Linked DNA regions of Saccharomyces cerevisiae S288C. The gene in region 2 interacts genetically with the main gene of each other region. Each region holds a gene or a part of one and is shown on either strand. Other genes may lie near its edges. The genes, in order: IAI11, ATM1, GLK1 and PUN1.

What was found.
Region 1: mutations in ATM1 (region 2) and IAI11 together harm fitness more than expected from each alone (negative genetic interaction), as found in Saccharomyces cerevisiae (one large-scale study listed by BioGRID).
Region 3: mutations in ATM1 (region 2) and GLK1 together harm fitness more than expected from each alone (negative genetic interaction), as found in Saccharomyces cerevisiae (one large-scale study listed by BioGRID).
Region 4: mutations in ATM1 (region 2) and PUN1 together harm fitness more than expected from each alone (negative genetic interaction), as found in Saccharomyces cerevisiae (one large-scale study listed by BioGRID).

Annotation. Positions count from the first base shown.
Region 1 is NC_001134.8:108,140-112,268, reverse strand, and holds IAI11 (Iai11p), read right to left. Parts: upstream 1,676-4,129; coding exon 1,390-1,675; intron 1,321-1,389; coding exon 1,025-1,320; downstream 1-1,024. Other genes in the region: protein phosphatase regulator SHP1, read right to left, coding at 1-832; CMC2 (Cmc2p), read left to right, coding at 1,730-1,763, 1,849-2,144; Arf family guanine nucleotide exchange factor YEL1, read right to left, coding at 2,274-4,129.
Region 2 is NC_001145.3:866,531-872,035, forward strand, and holds ATM1 (ATP-binding cassette Fe/S cluster precursor transporter ATM1), read right to left. Parts: upstream 3,098-5,505; coding exon 1,025-3,097; downstream 1-1,024. Other genes in the region: ADE4 (amidophosphoribosyltransferase), read right to left, coding at 1-561; YME2 (Yme2p), read right to left, coding at 3,543-5,505. UniProt on the Saccharomyces cerevisiae protein: Performs an essential function in the generation of cytoplasmic iron-sulfur proteins by mediating the ATP-dependent export of Fe/S cluster precursors synthesized by NFS1 and other mitochondrial proteins. Hydrolyzes ATP.
Region 3 is NC_001135.5:48,912-53,765, forward strand, and holds GLK1 (glucokinase), read left to right. Parts: upstream 1-1,926; coding exon 1,927-3,429; downstream 3,430-4,854. Other genes in the region: protein disulfide isomerase PDI1, read right to left, coding at 1-1,310; YCL042W (uncharacterized protein), read left to right, coding at 1,673-2,032; glucose-induced degradation complex subunit GID7, read left to right, coding at 3,734-4,854. UniProt on the Saccharomyces cerevisiae protein: Two isoenzymes, hexokinase-1 and hexokinase-2, can phosphorylate keto- and aldohexoses in yeast, whereas a third isoenzyme, GLK, is specific for aldohexoses. All glucose phosphorylating enzymes are involved in glucose uptake.
Region 4 is NC_001144.5:951,869-955,751, forward strand, and holds PUN1 (Pun1p), read right to left. Parts: upstream 2,277-3,883; coding exon 1,485-2,276; downstream 1-1,484. Other genes in the region: INA1 (Ina1p), read left to right, coding at 1-1,315; YLR415C (uncharacterized protein), read right to left, coding at 2,391-2,729; ESCRT-II subunit protein VPS36, read left to right, coding at 3,142-3,883. UniProt on the Saccharomyces cerevisiae protein: Contributes to the wild-type cellular response to nitrogen stress through signaling pathways that regulate the expression of genes involved in amino acid biosynthesis. Required for wild-type filamentous growth, cell growth, and cell-cell adhesion.

The DNA.
Region 1 (4,129 bases), on a different chromosome or scaffold from region 2:
CATCTAAGAGCTTTAATGGAGCCCTCCCTTGATTTAACTCGCTCAAATAGAAACTGTTCGCAGGATCATCATAGCGATAAAGCGGACCATCGGCCACTTGAAAACCTTCCTTCCAAAATGTAATTTCTCTTGTGACTTTTTCTGGTCTACGTTGTGATTGTGAAGTGTTGTCTTCTACGACTTCATCTGCTGCGTCGATGGTTGACCCTAATCTAAAACCTCTTCCAGTAAACCTATTGGCACCCATTTCATGGTCTTCGTCATCACGGAATCCGTTTTCAGCGCCCATTTGACCACCCCTTCTCGCTTTTTCCAGCAAATCCTTCAGTAATGAATTAGGATCTGAAGGATCTGTAACCTCTAAGCCGGATGTTTCACCACCAGCAAAAGTATTTCTCGGTTGATCTTCATCGTCATCATCAGCTTGACCTCTTACCATATCCGAAAAGCTCATAAACCTGGAGTTGTTACCACTTCCAGAGCGGCTACTACCCTTGGTTGGTTCAGGAGAGGTAGAACCTTTCCTTTTCAAGTACTCGTTGCTACCTTGTGAGGATCCTGGTTTTGGACATAACCCACCAACGTGCTCCGTATTTATGGCTTTATTCGAAGAGTTGGTGGAGAAGGCTTCTTGCTTGAGGGCCTTCTCCTGCTGTCTGTTCCAATGTGCTTCCTCTCTTCTATCCTTTTGGTCATCCGTTTGAGAAGCATAATAGGAATTTAGTGCTTCATTTAAATCTCCAAATTCAGAGAGATATTGAACGGCTATGTTATGCGACACATTGGTCAATGCCATGAACTGCTGGATGGTTTCATCAGGTATTTCCGCCATACCTAAATAATGAGTTAATTGTTGTGCTACCGACGTTTCTTATATATTTAAATCGAAATATGTTAAGCATACAACTATTAAACCCCTTCCGTTCTTTATTGCCATCGATTTTCGCCACCAATAAGAGTTCTAATGCGGGTAACACATATAAGTAGTGGAATATATTATTGAAACTACTACTATGGTATAACACTATTTACAAAGAGATGAATTGTGTGTCTTAACTAAGCTGTCCACTACTTGCTGGCTTCTTTTATCCAGAGGCATGTTTGTCACTACAAATTCGTTGTTGGCACGCCTTTCCAGACGTTGCTTTAGTTCCTGAAATGATGAAACATCCCAGCTCCAACATGTCCCTGTGATGCCCATACCAAATATACCTAGTGTCATGCCCGTTGCCGCTAAAAGAGAACCTGCAAGACTCTTTTGTGTGTGTGTTATTGTCTGCGTCCGGCTGGCGTAGTTTGCTTGAAAAGTGTTCAATGGCACTATGTAAATAAGTTATGTTAGTAAACGTGTTCTTTGAGTATGAGGCCGAAGTTATTGCCTATGCATACCTTTTGCAGTTATCATTTTCTTCATGGCAATTCTACATGTTATAAGTGTAAAAATAGTGATTCCGAAGAATCGTGTCATCTGAGTTTTCCTCCTCTTTTTATAGTCGTCTATAAAATGTGTGACTTCCTCACTACTGATTTTGGGCTTGTCGTTTCTGCTCACTAACATTATTGTTGGCCAGTCCTTTATTTCGAATTTTCTTCTTGTGTTTACATTATGTTTCAATTCGCATATTACATTAATAGAGAAAGACCTATTAAAAAATCGCTGCGCGTCCAATAACATTCACTGATTTACAAGTGCAGTTGAACAAAAGCAAGATAAGACAAGTACTACAACATGCATCCACAGTTAGAAGCTGAACGTTTTCATTGTAAGTATCCAGATTTTACTTCATATATTTGCCTTTTTCTGTGCTCCGACTTACTAACATTGTATTCTCCCCTTCTTCATTTTAGCCTGTTTGGACTTCATCAATGCACTCGATAAATGCCATCAAAAGGAATATTACAAGAGAATATTTGGCCTTTGTAACAACGAAAAGGATGCTTTGAACAAGTGTCTCAAGGAGGCAAGTTTGAATAACAAGAAACGTGCTGTCATTGAAAGTAGAATAAAGAGAGCTGATGTAGAAAAGAGATGGAAGAAAATTGAGGAAGAAGAATATGGCGAGGACGCTATATTAAAGACTATCTTAGATAGACAGTACGCCAAGAAAAAGCAGGAAAGTGACAATGATGCGAACTCGAAATAAAAGCTTTTTTTCTGTCGCTACTTCATTCACACAAATCATCTCAATATCCCTTGTAAATAAAAGGCAGAGTACAGTTTTCAAGTTTATATTTCTTCAGCGCAGTCTTTATATTTATATCTTTAAATATACTTAGAACTGAACAGAACCCATGGCTTTTTGCAAAGCTTTCAAGTAGCTCAGTCGTTTCTTATATTGATTATTCATATACAAATATCTCGAATTCCAATTATTCATGACTGCTTCAAAATAGTTATCGTCAAAGCTCCAAATTTCGACCAGCTTATCCTTTATTTCGTTATGTTTATCTATCCATATACCAAGCTGTCTGGTGAAGTTCATCAATTCCTTTAGCCTTTCTTTTAGTTCGACCATCTCTACATCTTTCGCATCTTCGTATAGTAGCTCTAGCCCCAATAGTGGCTTCCATTCACTTACAACAATATTTTTAAGATTGAGGGAAGCGTGCTCTGTCAAGATCTTGTCACTCCATCCATATTCTGCGTTAGATACGGCTTCGAATTGTGTTAAAGGAACTGGAGAAATCCTACCTGCCCAGAAGTTGATACAGTCCATAAACTTGTGGGCTTCTTCAACACTTCTCGTCTGGAACTCCAGAACAAGCTTTGGTCCGTTGATATTCTCTGGAAAACTAACGGTAAAGTTGCCACTTTTCCTCTTGGTGTTTTTGTTACACACATTTGATTTCATTGCTCCACTACCTATAATTATATTATCTTGCACGACATGTGCTTCAGCTTCAAGCAGTGAGTAAGCAAAATAAGAGCTACTGATATCTTTGAAATAGTCGATGGTAGCACTGTCTGTTTCACTTGATTGGATGATATCCTTAACATCTGGTTTAATTTTGAAAATAAAAATTCTGCCCTCCTTGACCTGTATTTTCACCCTCTCCCATTCAGAATCCTTATTCAAATACGATAAAGAAGTCCTTCTAGATGTGTGCTCAATAAGTGTAGTCGTTTTAGATGGTTTTAGCCATCCGAAGAACGATTTGTTTCTCTTAGAGGTCATTTTTGGTGCCGCCACTTGATCTTTGTCTCTTTTAGAATATTTACGTGGTAAAGATTTCTTGCTTATAAGAATTAAATCGTCCATGAACCAACTGGAGCCGTTTTCGGTAATTAAACCGTCATCAAAAGACTCTTTAAGGTAGAGTGCATCCATGGGGTGATTATTGTGAAAGTTTTTATTTGATTTTGCGCTCATTTCTCGTACAGATACTTGACCATCTCTTGAATATAGTGTAGTAGAATTAGAGTTAACACTACGTAAATTTGATGTACTAAATTCCCGTGATCCTAGAGTAGAGAACCTTTTCAAGGAAGATTGGTTATCTGATATATTTATTGATGTTCTAGATTCTGTGCATAACGGTAAAGGCGTTTCATTTAACGTTTTATAGTATTCGGAAAGTTCTTCGATGATCAAATGTTCGCGGGAGTATATTTTCAATTCTTCGTATTCATTTTCCTCTCTTAGTGCCCTCAGTGTATTGTTGATAAATGCAACCATGGAAAACTTAATCTTTTTATGGTCAACTTGAAAGTTGTTGTGCAAATCCGAATTAAGGATCAACAGGGAAAATAAGACTATATGACATGACTTATAGCCTGACTTCCAATGTGTGTTCGGGTGGCAAGCTATCCATTCTATGCTCAAGCACTCTAGTATCCGGTCGATATTTTGCGCTTCTGCAATGAAATATATACTTTTCGATAAATTGAAAAGCGTTTCTAATAGTGACGACGGCAAAGGACTCAATAACTTTACAAACTCAGTCAAGACTTGATTATTGTTATCGTTTCCCAAGAAATTTGCATATTCCTTGTAAGATACATCTTTGAAAGTGCCTTCCAAGATCTCTGAGGCAATAAGATGACTATTCTGATCAGTTTCCTCGGATTGAGTGGAGCTAATATCTTCAGTACCAGTCCCCGCAGTGGCGGTATCCGTAGTAGGTATCA
Region 2 (5,505 bases):
ATCTCTGAAACCAAATAATGCAAAACCGGCAAGTAAACCAACGCAAGCATAACCGCCACGGCATAAACGGTAAACACCTTCTAACGCGTGGAAAACATCTTCATTGTTAACTCTGTACTTGTTATGTTTTTCCAGTTCAGCAGCAAAAATATTCAATAGTAACTCCGAATCACTGTCCGTGTTAATATGTCTATGAACGTCTTCATCCATATATCTCTTCAATGATGCAGTATTCACCAAGTTACCGTTATGTGCCAAGTTAATACCGTAAGGACTATTGACGTAAAATGGTTGCGCTTCTGAATTAGCCGAAGACCCGGCTGTAGGATATCTCAAGTGGGCAATACCCATGGAACCAGCAAGACCGGAAACACGTTGTTGGGTAAATACGTCACGAGCCATACCATTACCTTTACATTGGTAGATTCTACCACGAGAACCACAGGTAGCTATACCAGCTGCATCTTGTCCACGATGTTGTAGAAAAATGCATCCATCACATAACTCCGGAGCTACTGGAGTGGTTTGGTTTGCTAATACAATACCTAAAATACCACACATTTTTTCTATTCTGCTGTTTGCTGTACCTCTTTCTTTGCTAAACTTATTAGAACGAAATCTACTACTTTCAAGACGATGTCTTCGCAACTATGACTTAAAAGTGAATAAAATTGTACGGTGGCTGTTGAAATTTTTCTAAAATGAAAAAAAAAAAAACGAAGGACTTTACCTTGACTTAATAATAAGAATCTGAAAAGTACAAACCTATTATTGAAATTGTAAGTAAGCAAACTTTAAATACACCGAAGCTCTGACATTTGCCGCATGAGCAGTCATTCGGATTCATGATCCCAGATTATATTTTATTATTCATGTTCGTTCTAACTCTGTCCTGTTATTTTCGGTCAGGAAGAGTCAATACATCGGGTCATTGAAAAACCGCGGAGAAAGATAATAACTTTTCTTTTTTCCTTAAATCTTGAAAAACTTATACATGTATAAATCAATATTTACTTACGAGCGTTCATAGTTCTTGCTGGTCTTTTAGTTCATTCTCTAAATGATCCAGATCTTCTTGTATGGTCCAAAGTTCGCGGTACAATGACCCTGGCATAGCCAACAGTTCAAGATGCTTACCTTCCTCTCTTACTCTTCCGTTGTCAAGGACTATGATCTTGTCTGCATCTGCAATTGTCCTCAGTCTATGTGCGATGTATACACTCGTTCTCGAACCCGAAGTAAAGTTATCTCTAATGGTTCGTAAGAGAGCTTGTTCTGTGTGTGTGTCCAAGGCGCTTGTGGCCTCGTCAAAAAACATGATCCTTGCATTCTTCAATAGTACCCTTGCAATTGCCAGCCTTTGCTTTTCACCACCGCTGATCATCAACCCTCGCTCCCCGACGATGGTGTCAAAACCTTGTGGTAATTTCTTGATTAAGGGTGCTAGCTGGGCTTTTTCAACTACAGTTATCACTTCCTCGTCGGTTGCGTCAATACGACCGAACTTTACATTTTCCCAGATAGTGTCATTGAAAAGTGGTGTGTCCTGTGGTACCACACCAATCACCTTCCTCAAGGCATCGATGTCATATTCTTTAATATCTCTACCGTTTATGAGGATCCTTCCGCTTTCAGGATCATAAAATCTAAAGACTAATTTTAAAATGGTGGACTTCCCACTGCCCGAAGACCCAACTATTGCGGTTTTCCAGCCTGCTGGGATGGTAAAGCTGGCATTCTTTAAAATTTTCCTATCGGGATGATATCCAAACGTGACGTTCTCAAAAGTAATATCGTAGGGAACATTTTCTGGAAGCATTAAGGGACGTTCGGCATTTTTAATCTTGACTTCATTTTTTCTTAACTTAAATAGCGTTTCCATATCAATCAGAGACTGCTTTAAATCTCTGTAAACACTACCAAGAAAATTTAGCGGTACTGATAGTTGAAAAACCAACTGATTAATTAGAACCAAGTCACCAACTGTCAAGTTGCCACCAATAACGCCGGTGCAACCCATATACATCATTGCAGTTAGGGCAGTAGTAAAAATTAGATTTTGGCCGGAGTTCAAAAATGCTAGAGATTGCGATACTTTAATTTGAGAGTCACGATAGTTCATCAAGGAGCCATTATACTTATCTGCAAGATATTTTTCATTGTTGAAGTATTTTACCGCCTCAAAATTAATTAAAGAATCTAAAGCCACACTGGCAGCTTTGTTATCGGCCTTGTTAGCATCCCTTCTAAAATGTGTCCTCCATGCGGTCGTCTTTATAGTGAAAATGGAGTATAAAAGCATTGTACTGAATGTTATTGCGGCAAATGACGCACCGAATTGATACGTCAAAATCCCACAAACGACAGATATTTCAAAACTTATAGGGATAATGTGGAATACCATGGCCGTTAACACTTGAGATATACCCTTTGTACCTCTATCCATGGCCCTCGTCAGACCACCCGTTTGTCTACTCAAGTGCCATCCCAAATCTAACTTCATAAGGTGCTGGAAAGTTTGTAGCGACACAGTTCTAATGGCATTCTGTGCCACTTTGGCAAATACGGCGTTCCTCAGTTCGCCGAATAAAACAGAGCCGAACCTTGCAACACCATAGCAAAGAATGGTTAATCCAATCGCTGCCGGAAGGGCGACTGTAGGATCATCCCATGCTATATTCATTGAATCAATAGTTTGCTTGAAAAAAAAAGGTACTTGAACATTTAAAATTTTGGCGGATATCAACAGTCCAAGGGCAATCAGTACCCTTATCCTCACTTTATTGTTGCCTTTGGGCCAAATATAGCGAAATAGATCTTTCAAGATTTTCAGTTCCGAGAGGGTTGGGGCCTTGCTGGTCTTTTTTACCTGAGTCTTCACTTTTGGAGCCGACGAGAATTGCTCGACGGATTTTTTGTGCGTAATATCCTTTTGTGCTTGATTCCATAAATTCACAGCTGAATTGAATAACAGAGGCCGCTGGGTTGATAACTTAGACACAGTAAATATAACGGGCGAATGGTTCCGGATTAGACCAGATCTAAATTTTGATCTTACAATTCGCCCAATTACAGGACATCTTGGAAGAAGCAGCATTTGCAGGTTGGAGTGGAATCTATCAACAACGATATACTTACGTTGCTCTGTCGCAATTTTCGAAATTGTACTCTTTGCTGTGCTGATTGCTTTGTTTGCGATTATTAATGTAGAAAGTCATCGGAAAGCCCTCGCGCTCTTTCCCAGTGAAATTTCACGTGATGTAATCTGATGAAGGGCACGTATAGGTCAGTGACCTTTGCTGTGCAAATTGGGTAAGGTAATTTCTTTTAAAGACTTTAAGAATGGTAAAGTGAGGTACAACAACATATTATAAGACTTACTTGGTATGTACCTTACCTTCCTTAGATATTTTTCATGCTGCGTAGAAAATTGCACCATCTCCAATCGTCACTTTTATACATTTTCAAAAGAATATAGATGAGTATAGCAATATAGGGTTTACACATATGTACAGAAAAGCAGAATAGTAAGTTTTGTTTCATCACTTAGATAGGTTTTTAATTTCTTCTTCACATTTGGTAATGACTGCATTACTGGCATTGATTTTACCGGATAAATAGTCCAATCTGGTCTTGAAAAGTTTCTGATCAGGAACTTTCCCCAAAGGTTTTAATTCTTCTTCCCATTTCTTGATTCTACCAGTTTCAAAACCCACAACCTTTAATAAGTAACGGGTTTTTAGCACTTTTGCGAGTTCAGGATCGTTGATCAAGTATGTGAATGCTGCCCTGTATAGCGGTTTGGCAGGCCTGATTTCCTGTAAAACACCCCTATCTCTAGATACAGTTATTAAACCATTATTCTCCAATTCCATGATTCCCGTTTCTGGTGCGGCTTTGAATAATGGCTTGTTAACGATTTCATGGAATGGAATGACTGGGTTCGCACTCAATAATTCGATTAATTCCCAGGCTTGTGCACTTTTATTGCTGTCAATCTTGTCACTTAAAAACATTTGAGTTATTTGCTCAGAAGCCTGTTCAATCATTTTGTCTACTGCTTCCGAGGGCTCTTCTCCTGACTTTACCCTTCTTACAAATGCCTGTAAGTCTAACATCCTACCACCCAATGGCTCTAAAGAAGCGTCAATTTCCTGTAATTCCTTTTCATTTAAAATAACCTCAGCTTTTTTGACACTCGTATCGGCCTCACTATCAGAATCATTATTTTCAGCAGTTTCCTTTTCTGATTCAGGTTCTTTTACGTTTTCACCCTTGGATTTTTTATTGTAATATAAGTAATCCTCCAATTGGGATAATACATAGTTCCTCGAATTCTCTTTTGAGGCATCTGATAGGATTAGGTTTTTGAAGACTTGATTGGGTAGTGATTCGCTCAATCTTTGGTTGGATGCAACGGTTTCCGTTAAGAAAATCACATGAGCAATATTCATTTGAACTAGCATAGCTGCCCAATCGGATAGTTCCTTATACACAAATCCATTTATTTCCGACTTGCCCTCAAACCTATCTATGACGATAACGGGTTTAGCTTCCGGATGTTGCTGTAGGTAATCTTCTTCCTTAACATTAACTGTCCCATCACCGGTGGAAACAAAAGCCTTGTAATTCTTGAGAGCAATACGTCTAATGGACATCAATGAGGTAGTTAACATGTTTCTAAACCGAGATTCCTTCGTCTCAGACAACCCAGTTTTTTGCCCTGTTAATCCTTGCACTGTTAAATCAAGGACACCTGTGACAGAGTCAATCCATGGGAATATTGGGAAATAACCCAATTGACTAGCGGCATTTTTTAAAAACATAGGATCTGTTCTGGACTTAATCAATTTATCACAATCCAAATACAAAACATTTGCTCTATTTTGCAAAGTGTGTTGCATGACCAAATCATGTTTCCCTGAACCTCTAGGCCCCCTTATAACCACAAAAGTATTATTATTTTCTTCAAGCCACATTTTCAGGTCATTCACTTTCTCTATTCTTTCCTCCCATAAATGCTTTCTTTGGTGATTATCATCAGGGCCGCCCCAGTAGTACTTGATAGAAGTCATGGTAGATGAGGTTAGCGTTTTCAGTTGTTTCCAAAACTTATTGTCCCACGATAAAGAATATTTGTGAGTGATCTTCTGTTCAATCGAAAATTCTCTTATAGGATCAAACACTAAAACAGCAAAGATTGAAAGTAGCGCAAATAAAACTGGAATAGCAATCCTTGTATGGTTGGTGAAAAAATTACTAACTAGATGGCCTCTTCTGATATTTTCGTATTGTATGTGTAAGACGGTATTATGAATTTCGATACCGGAAACACAATTCTTGGCAGAAATGGCACCACGGAATGAACGGTATCTTACCTTTGCCACATTGTTGTTAGCAGCAGTGGGAGGGAAAATATCAATAATTGTCCCATATCTTCTGAATAAAGAGTATATTTCTTCTTCTGTTAAGGCGGGCCCTTGGAACTTGATGACTATAGTGGTA
Region 3 (4,854 bases), on a different chromosome or scaffold from region 2:
TGGTCTAGTTTAGCAATCAAAACGTCGGATGTGGCGTTGGCGTAGGTATCAGCTAGTTCTTGGTAAGTTGGGGCCAATCTCTTACAGTGACCACACCATGGGGCATAGTACAAAACAAGAACGTCCTTCTTTGGGTCGTTGACGATTTCGTCATGGTTCTTACCGACCAATTGGAAGACAGAGGAATCTTGGTTCTCGAAGATCTCTTGGGACTTCACGATTGGGGAGGCATCACCTTTCAAGAAGTCCTTAACCAAAGATTCAATAGCCTTAGACTCCAACACGATCTTGTCGCTCAATTCGTCAAACGCCTCTTCAGAGAGTTGAGGCAAACCGTACTTCAAGTCTTCAGTCATGTCGTGGATGGCAAATAGAGGGAATTGTTCCTTCATGTTCAAGTTGCCGGCGTGTCTGCCGAATTTTCTGGCATCGATGCTAACAAAGTTCATTAGACCTCTGTTCTTTTTGGCCAACTCGGTAAAGAGAGGCTTGTATTCTTCCAATTCTTCCTCGTCATTGTAGAATAAGTAACCCAAAGGCAAACCGCTTTCGACGTATTGGGCGAAAACGGAACCGTCGATTTCACCAAAGTAGGGCAAGGCTTCCACTTGCAACCATTTTTCAAAAACATCAGCGTCAGCGATATCGGCTTTCTTACCGTTGTATACTACAGGCTCGTCCATGGCGGAGGGCAAGTAAATAGAAAGCTTGAAATCATCGTCTGCGTTTTCAGCGGAGACAAAGTCGTAGTCGTTGAAGTGTTTGTTGGCCATGGAGTAAAAGGTGGCGTTGAAGTCGGCGTCAATCTTACCGGATTGGACGATAACTGGAGTGACAAAAGTCTCGTTAGCAAGGTAAGCTGGTAGATCAGCAACAACGGCGACAGCCGGTTGGCTTTGCTTGATCATGAATTGGACAATGGCCTCGGCAGTTCTAGGTCCCTCGTAATCGATCGAGTTGTTAACATCGCTGTTTTTGAAAATCTTCAAGCTTGGGAACCCTGGAATGTTGTGTTCCATACACAGATCCTGGTTTTCAGTACAGTCGATCTGGGCCAAGGTAATGTTTTTCTCAACTAAAGTCTCGGCGGCTTTAACGTATTCAGGAGCCATGTTCTTACAGTGGCCACACCATGGAGCAAAAAACTCCGCAAGCACCAAGTCGTGCGACTGAATGTACTCATTGAAGGAGTCGGTGGCCAACTTAACGACAGCGGAGTCTTCAGGGGCCACAGCCTCTTGTTGGGCGAAAACAGAGGAGGCGAGCAGCAGGGAGGACCATGACAGGACGGCACCAGCAGAAAACTTCATAACGGGATAGATGTATGTTTTTCTTTATGTAGAGCTTGGCAGCTTTAAAATTACCAATTAGACATGCTGCTTGCAACAAGAAAATGCACGCGTAACAAAATATATATATATATATATATATATATGTATGTCCATACGGGTTTTTCGTTTTGTTGTGGTTGTAACAGCACAACAAAATGCTACACGGTGGCAAATTGGAAAAAGAGACTAGTGAGAGAAAAGGGAAAAAGAGGCGCCGCCCGACAGGGTAACATATTATCACGTGCAGCCCAGGATAATTTTCAGGACACGTGTTTCGAAAGGTTTGTCGCTCCGAAAAAATCAAAAAAAACAAAAAACGGGAAATAACAATAACGACAAAAATGGAAAAAAAAAAAATTTTAGACGCGGCGCTTGCACCCCGCATTATAAGTGGTGTGCCGACGGACGGTCAACCCCTTTCAGGGGGCCCCCTATCTTGGGCGTGGTGTCACACCACGCTCAAACGGTGGGCACTAATGAAAACGCGCCCATATAAATATCCGCTATCAACAGAACCCCCAACCCCCCCATCAGTGCCCAACTCAGCTTCCGTAAACCACAACACCACCACTAATACAACTCTATCATACACAAGATGTCATTCGACGACTTACACAAAGCCACTGAGAGAGCGGTCATCCAGGCCGTGGACCAGATCTGCGACGATTTCGAGGTTACCCCCGAGAAGCTGGACGAATTAACTGCTTACTTCATCGAACAAATGGAAAAAGGTCTAGCTCCACCAAAGGAAGGCCACACATTGGCCTCGGACAAAGGTCTTCCTATGATTCCGGCGTTCGTCACCGGGTCACCCAACGGGACGGAGCGCGGTGTTTTACTAGCCGCCGACCTGGGTGGTACCAATTTCCGTATATGTTCTGTTAACTTGCATGGAGATCATACTTTCTCCATGGAGCAAATGAAGTCCAAGATTCCCGATGATTTGCTAGACGATGAGAACGTCACATCTGACGACCTGTTTGGGTTTCTAGCACGTCGTACACTGGCCTTTATGAAGAAGTATCACCCGGACGAGTTGGCCAAGGGTAAAGACGCCAAGCCCATGAAACTGGGGTTCACTTTCTCATACCCTGTAGACCAGACCTCTCTAAACTCCGGGACATTGATCCGTTGGACCAAGGGTTTCCGCATCGCGGACACCGTCGGAAAGGATGTCGTGCAATTGTACCAGGAGCAATTAAGCGCTCAGGGTATGCCTATGATCAAGGTTGTTGCATTAACCAACGACACCGTCGGAACGTACCTATCGCATTGCTACACGTCCGATAACACGGACTCAATGACGTCCGGAGAAATCTCGGAGCCGGTCATCGGATGTATTTTCGGTACCGGTACCAATGGGTGCTATATGGAGGAGATCAACAAGATCACGAAGTTGCCACAGGAGTTGCGTGACAAGTTGATAAAGGAGGGTAAGACACACATGATCATCAATGTCGAATGGGGGTCCTTCGATAATGAGCTCAAGCACTTGCCTACTACTAAGTATGACGTCGTAATTGACCAGAAACTGTCAACGAACCCGGGATTTCACTTGTTTGAAAAACGTGTCTCAGGGATGTTCTTGGGTGAGGTGTTGCGTAACATTTTAGTGGACTTGCACTCGCAAGGCTTGCTTTTGCAACAGTACAGGTCCAAGGAACAACTTCCTCGCCACTTGACTACACCTTTCCAGTTGTCATCCGAAGTGCTGTCGCATATTGAAATTGACGACTCGACAGGTCTACGTGAAACAGAGTTGTCATTATTACAGAGTCTCAGACTGCCCACCACTCCAACAGAGCGTGTTCAAATTCAAAAATTGGTGCGCGCGATTTCTAGGAGATCTGCGTATTTAGCCGCCGTGCCGCTTGCCGCGATATTGATCAAGACAAATGCTTTGAACAAGAGATATCATGGTGAAGTCGAGATCGGTTGTGATGGTTCCGTTGTGGAATACTACCCCGGTTTCAGATCTATGCTGAGACACGCCTTAGCCTTGTCACCCTTGGGTGCCGAGGGTGAGAGGAAGGTGCACTTGAAGATTGCCAAGGATGGTTCCGGAGTGGGTGCCGCCTTGTGTGCGCTTGTAGCATGATCTTTTTACATTTTTTTGGTTTGTGTACGTATCCCACCGTACTTACCATCTTCTCTCCTTTATATATATATATATATATGTATATTTTCAGTGTATATACATACATTCTTATACAATACCGTATAAGAACGTATGTATGTATGTATGATTTTCTCACATTAATGAACAATATCATCGGAAACGGGCCTTTGGTTTTTAAGGGAAAATGAAGAACAATAAATGCCTTGCTAGGTCTTCCTTTATCATTTTTGGAAGTCAAATATGAAAAACACTTCCAAGGGGGCGTACTACTTCAACTAATAAAATGTCACACACTAATAAGATCGCATACGTGTTGAACAATGACACGGAGGAAACAGCCTCGCCCTCTTCCGTTGGTTGTTTTGACAAGAAACAGCTCACTAAATTACTGATACATACTCTAAAGGAGCTGGGCTACGACTCCGCCGCTAACCAGTTACTGCTAGAGAGCGGCGGATATCAAAATGAGTCTAACCACATCCAGACTTTCTTCAAACTCATCAAGACCGGCCAATTCCATCTTATTAATTGGCAGATTGTTTGCTCGCTGCCCCTTGCCCATAGCTCTCCGCTAAGGTCCGAATGGCTTCAAAGGCTGCTCATTCCCACGCCGACGCCCGCCACGACTTCACTTTTCGACCACATGCTCCTGCAACTGCAATACCTGCAACAGCTGATGAGCTCTGTAAATTCATCTACTTGTTCGGACGCAGAGATCGCCACGCTCAGAAATTACGTAGAGATCATGATTCTAGTTAATAGACAAATATTCCTCGAATTCTTCCATCCAGTCACAAATTCCGCCTCTCACAAGGGCCCTCACACTGCACTGCCCGTCCTGTATTTGCGCAAAATCCTCAAAAACTTCATCGAGATATGGGATTCCCTGCTGGTGTCTAACGATCAGTTCCTAAATGAAGAAAACATCTTCAATCCGGAAACGACCTTGAGAGAACTGTCGACGTACCTGACCAACCCAAAACTAACCGCGCAGTTGAACCTCGAGCGAGACCATCTGATTGACGCCATCTCCAAATATATCGATCCGAACGAACTCGTTCCCAAGGGTCGTCTCTTGCATCTCTTGAAACAGGCCATCAAGTATCAACAATCACAAGACATTTTTAATATCATCGATCCGGATGATGACGCCTCTTTCTCCTCTCCACCCCACCGGATCAACCTTTTGCAGGATAACTTCTCACACGATCTGACTGTGACCTTTCAAGAATGGAAGACTATCCAAGACACCACAGACGAAATTTGGTTTTTGACATTTTCGCCCAATGGCAAGTATTTGGCTTCTGCGACTTCCGAGTCTTCAAGAGGCTACTTCATTACTGTTTATGATGTGGAACAAGACTTCAAAATTTATAAGACTTGCGTGAGCTTGTCACAATCCGT
Region 4 (3,883 bases), on a different chromosome or scaffold from region 2:
ATTGTTTTCTAGTCTAAAAACCAGTCTTGCGGAAGGTGGCAATGCTACTGAAACTATTATGCAATTAGGCTCCCTCGTTCCTTCGAGTTTAAAACCAGCTGTCCAAGCTGTTGTTACTCTGTTTGATGAAACTACATCTCAAAATGTAACATTATCCGTATTGAGCACTATGATTGCCGAAAACATTACCCAATCATCTTCCGCTAAAGCTGCCATGGGTGCTTTGACTGACTTGTTGAATTACACTACAAACCAAACAGAGCTGCTAACATCTGTCGAAAGTTTGGCCCTCTCTAAAGAAGCCGCTTCCTCTACTAACCAATTGGTGGCACTTGATGAAATCCTTTCTGCAAGTGCTAACGCATCCACAGTTGTTTCCATAATCCCTACTTTGGAATCCCAATTGGCCAATAACACCGTATTACTTAAGTACGTTCCATACTTGTTCAGCCTATTAGCTGCGTCAAGCGACCCCGTGTCAAGTTTCTCTTCTCTGGTTAATATCACCAAATGGGCAGAAACTAATGCCGCTACATTTATGCCCATGTTGAAAATTTTAAACTCTGCTGTAAACATGACAACTATCACACCAGAACAACTCAAGGAAATGACTCCTTCTATCCTTGAATATCTACACATCCCTGTCATATACCGTTTGTCCATTTTCACAATGTGTCGTGCTCACTTAAACAGAACAATGTACTCGTGTAGCAAGTCACACGCTGTTCAAAACATGGATTTCCGGTCGATTGTTTACAACAACATTGAAGGCTCGGACTTTAAACCTTATATGGATGCCCTGAACATCGGTAAGGACGATTTGCATTTAGATGGTGAATTACAAGACAGACAACACATGTATGTCCCAGCAGTGAAAGCAGCTTTAGCTATGAACTTAATGTGCATAATCACATCCTTCTTCTTAATGGTATTCTTGTTGCTACTAAGTAGACGTTCCGTGGTGAGTCAAAAATTATGGTTGGCATTGGGCTTTATTTCCTGTTGGATATGTATTTTCAGCGGGTTGGGAAGCACAATCTTTAGCGTCATCCTTAATATGATGAAATCCGGCTCCAAGAAGGACAATTACGATGTCATTATTTCTGGCTCTTCTCCATTTTATGGCCTAATGTGGTCTGGATTTGTATTTGCCGTCCTTGTATTTCTCTGCATTGCATACTGCTGGTGGAGCAGCAGAAAGGGAGCTGCCATCGTGGAAGCTGAGAAAGCTGTTCAAGAAAGTGACTCTACTACCTCAAGAATCATTGAAGAACACGAAAGCCCCATTGATGCTGAAAAAAACTTTGCAAGGTAAAATAATAAAAAGAAGATCATGCAACATCACCCCGTAAATTTTTTCAATTCTCCATCCTTTTAATTTTCTTCATTATAATTTTCTGAATTGTATATAGACAATATATTTTAATCATATTTAATATGAAACGGAACACAAAAATTAATTAATAACCTTGCCTTTTTCAAATTCAAATCAATGGTTTTTCCTCAATTGGAGCGTTCGCATAGATGACGGTGGGCCTCGATCTCACGCTACACCATAGAATGAAATTCAGTAATGCTCCAACGACAGCCCCCCACATCAAACCCTGGTAGTTCCTACCAATGCTCATTGAAATACCGTAATCACTATAGTTATGCTTTAGGATGTATTTGATGTATGAGTAAGTGCCCAAACACGAACCTATACTGACTAATAGGGCGGCAAAGGCGAAAAATGAAAAAAAGGCACCAAACCACGTTAGCGGCCTTATGTGGATGATCCAGCGCAATACGTTGAACACTAGATTCACAAAGGTCAAGACAATACCAATAAGAATGGTAATGAACATACACTTGACCAAATTGTTGTAGTATGTCATTTTACTTTTTAGTTTTTCGGGCAAAACAACACTGGCCACGGAATCCATAAGCTCCAGAGCCTCATTGTTGTTGATATTGTCATACACTAATGACGATAGGTTAAAATTCTGGATACCGTGAGGCGAAGAACATGATTGGATGTTATGCGAGGAGTCCACTGTACAGTACGACCAAAGCCCTATATTTATATATGAGGGCAGGCCCAACGAAGATAGCGTAGCAGAACTCAAAGAAGGGAGCACCGTCGATACCTTCATCTGCGACAGATCCAATTCTGCACAGTAAATTTTATTTATGGGACTGTAATTTTTCGTTGATCCTGCGCATGCAACAATGGCTAATATAAGTGCTCCTAGCGAAAATATAGCTGCAAAAAATAACGTGAAAAAATTCCTCATGCTTATAGCGTCCTTCGATGATGTGTTTGTTTTTTTCTTAATAGTTCTCTATTGCTTTAATCAAGTTTCACTACTGCGCAGCGTTGTATGATCTTGATCTAGTTTCTTTTAGTTCTACTTCCAAACAACTGGTCCAGAATGAAACACCACTGGACACTCATTGACTACTGAGACATGGAAGAGCAACATTCTCGCGTATATATACTTCTCAGCCAATTTTCCTGCGAGAAGCGCTAAAAATACCGAGCTGGGCTTGGCTGATAGTACGCCCGATTTGGAAATAACGCTCGAGGCGTGCTGCGTCCTTTTTTGCCTGGCCAGGCCAGGCCGGGTTGTCCCGCACCATTCAACGGCGGCTATCTGGCGATGTTGAAAGAGGGGGGGAGTGGAGAGGGCTCTGAGGGTCAAGTGGGAGGCTGTGACAGTTCTCATAAGCTGGGCACTGAGATACATGGAAAGAAATAGGCTGTTCACAGTGTACGTCAATGTGTGGCTGACTAACCGTTAGCGGGGCGGAACCGACATGTCTGGTGCAGTGTATGTAAGAAAAAAAGAATGACAATGCATGGCCAAACTTTTGATCTGTGACGTTCGCAAAACGCACTACTTTGCTTTCTGTATGCAATGGGAATGAGGCGTAGCGACATATTAAGAAGCCTTTTCCATGTGAGGAAGCTTCGCCTTGTTTTCCAGACGCGCTTTTTTTAGGATCAACGAAGAGGAAAAAGGGTTTCACATGTTTCATCTGGAAAAGATGGAGACTGAAAAACAAAAAAGCAGAGAAAAGGTCATCCAAGATAGAATAGGGGACCTCGGCTAGGAATCAGGAAGTGTGTTTTGAAAGTCATTCTTTTTTTTTCAAAAGATGGAGTACTGGCATTATGTGGAAACTACGTCATCGGGCCAACCTCTTCTTCGAGAAGGTGAAAAAGATATCTTTATCGATCAGTCCGTAGGTCTTTACCATGGCAAATCTAAGATTCTACAGCGACAGAGGGGCAGAATCTTTTTAACGTCACAAAGAATTATCTACATCGACGATGCAAAGCCCACTCAGAACTCGCTTGGGTTGGAATTGGACGATCTAGCGTATGTAAACTATTCATCTGGCTTCTTGACCAGATCACCTCGTCTGATCCTGTTTTTCAAGGACCCCTCCAGTAAGGATGAACTTGGTAAAAGTGCGGAAACAGCAAGTGCCGACGTTGTTTCGACGTGGGTCTGCCCCATCTGTATGGTTTCGAACGAAACGCAGGGGGAATTCACTAAAGACACTCTACCTACACCCATTTGTATCAATTGCGGTGTGCCAGCGGACTATGAGCTCACCAAGTCGTCTATAAATTGTTCTAATGCAATCGACCCGAACGCCAACCCACAGAATCAGTTCGGAGTGAACTCTGAGAACATTTGCCCCGCCTGTACTTTTGCTAATCATCCTCAAATAGGAAATTGCGAGATTTGCGGCCACAGATTGCCTAATGCATCCAAAGTACGATCAAAGCTGAACAGGCTAAACTTTCATGATTCTAGGGTCCATATTGAGCTAGAAAAAAATTCACTGGCTAGAAACAAGAGCTCGCACTCGGCATTATCGTCCTCGTCCT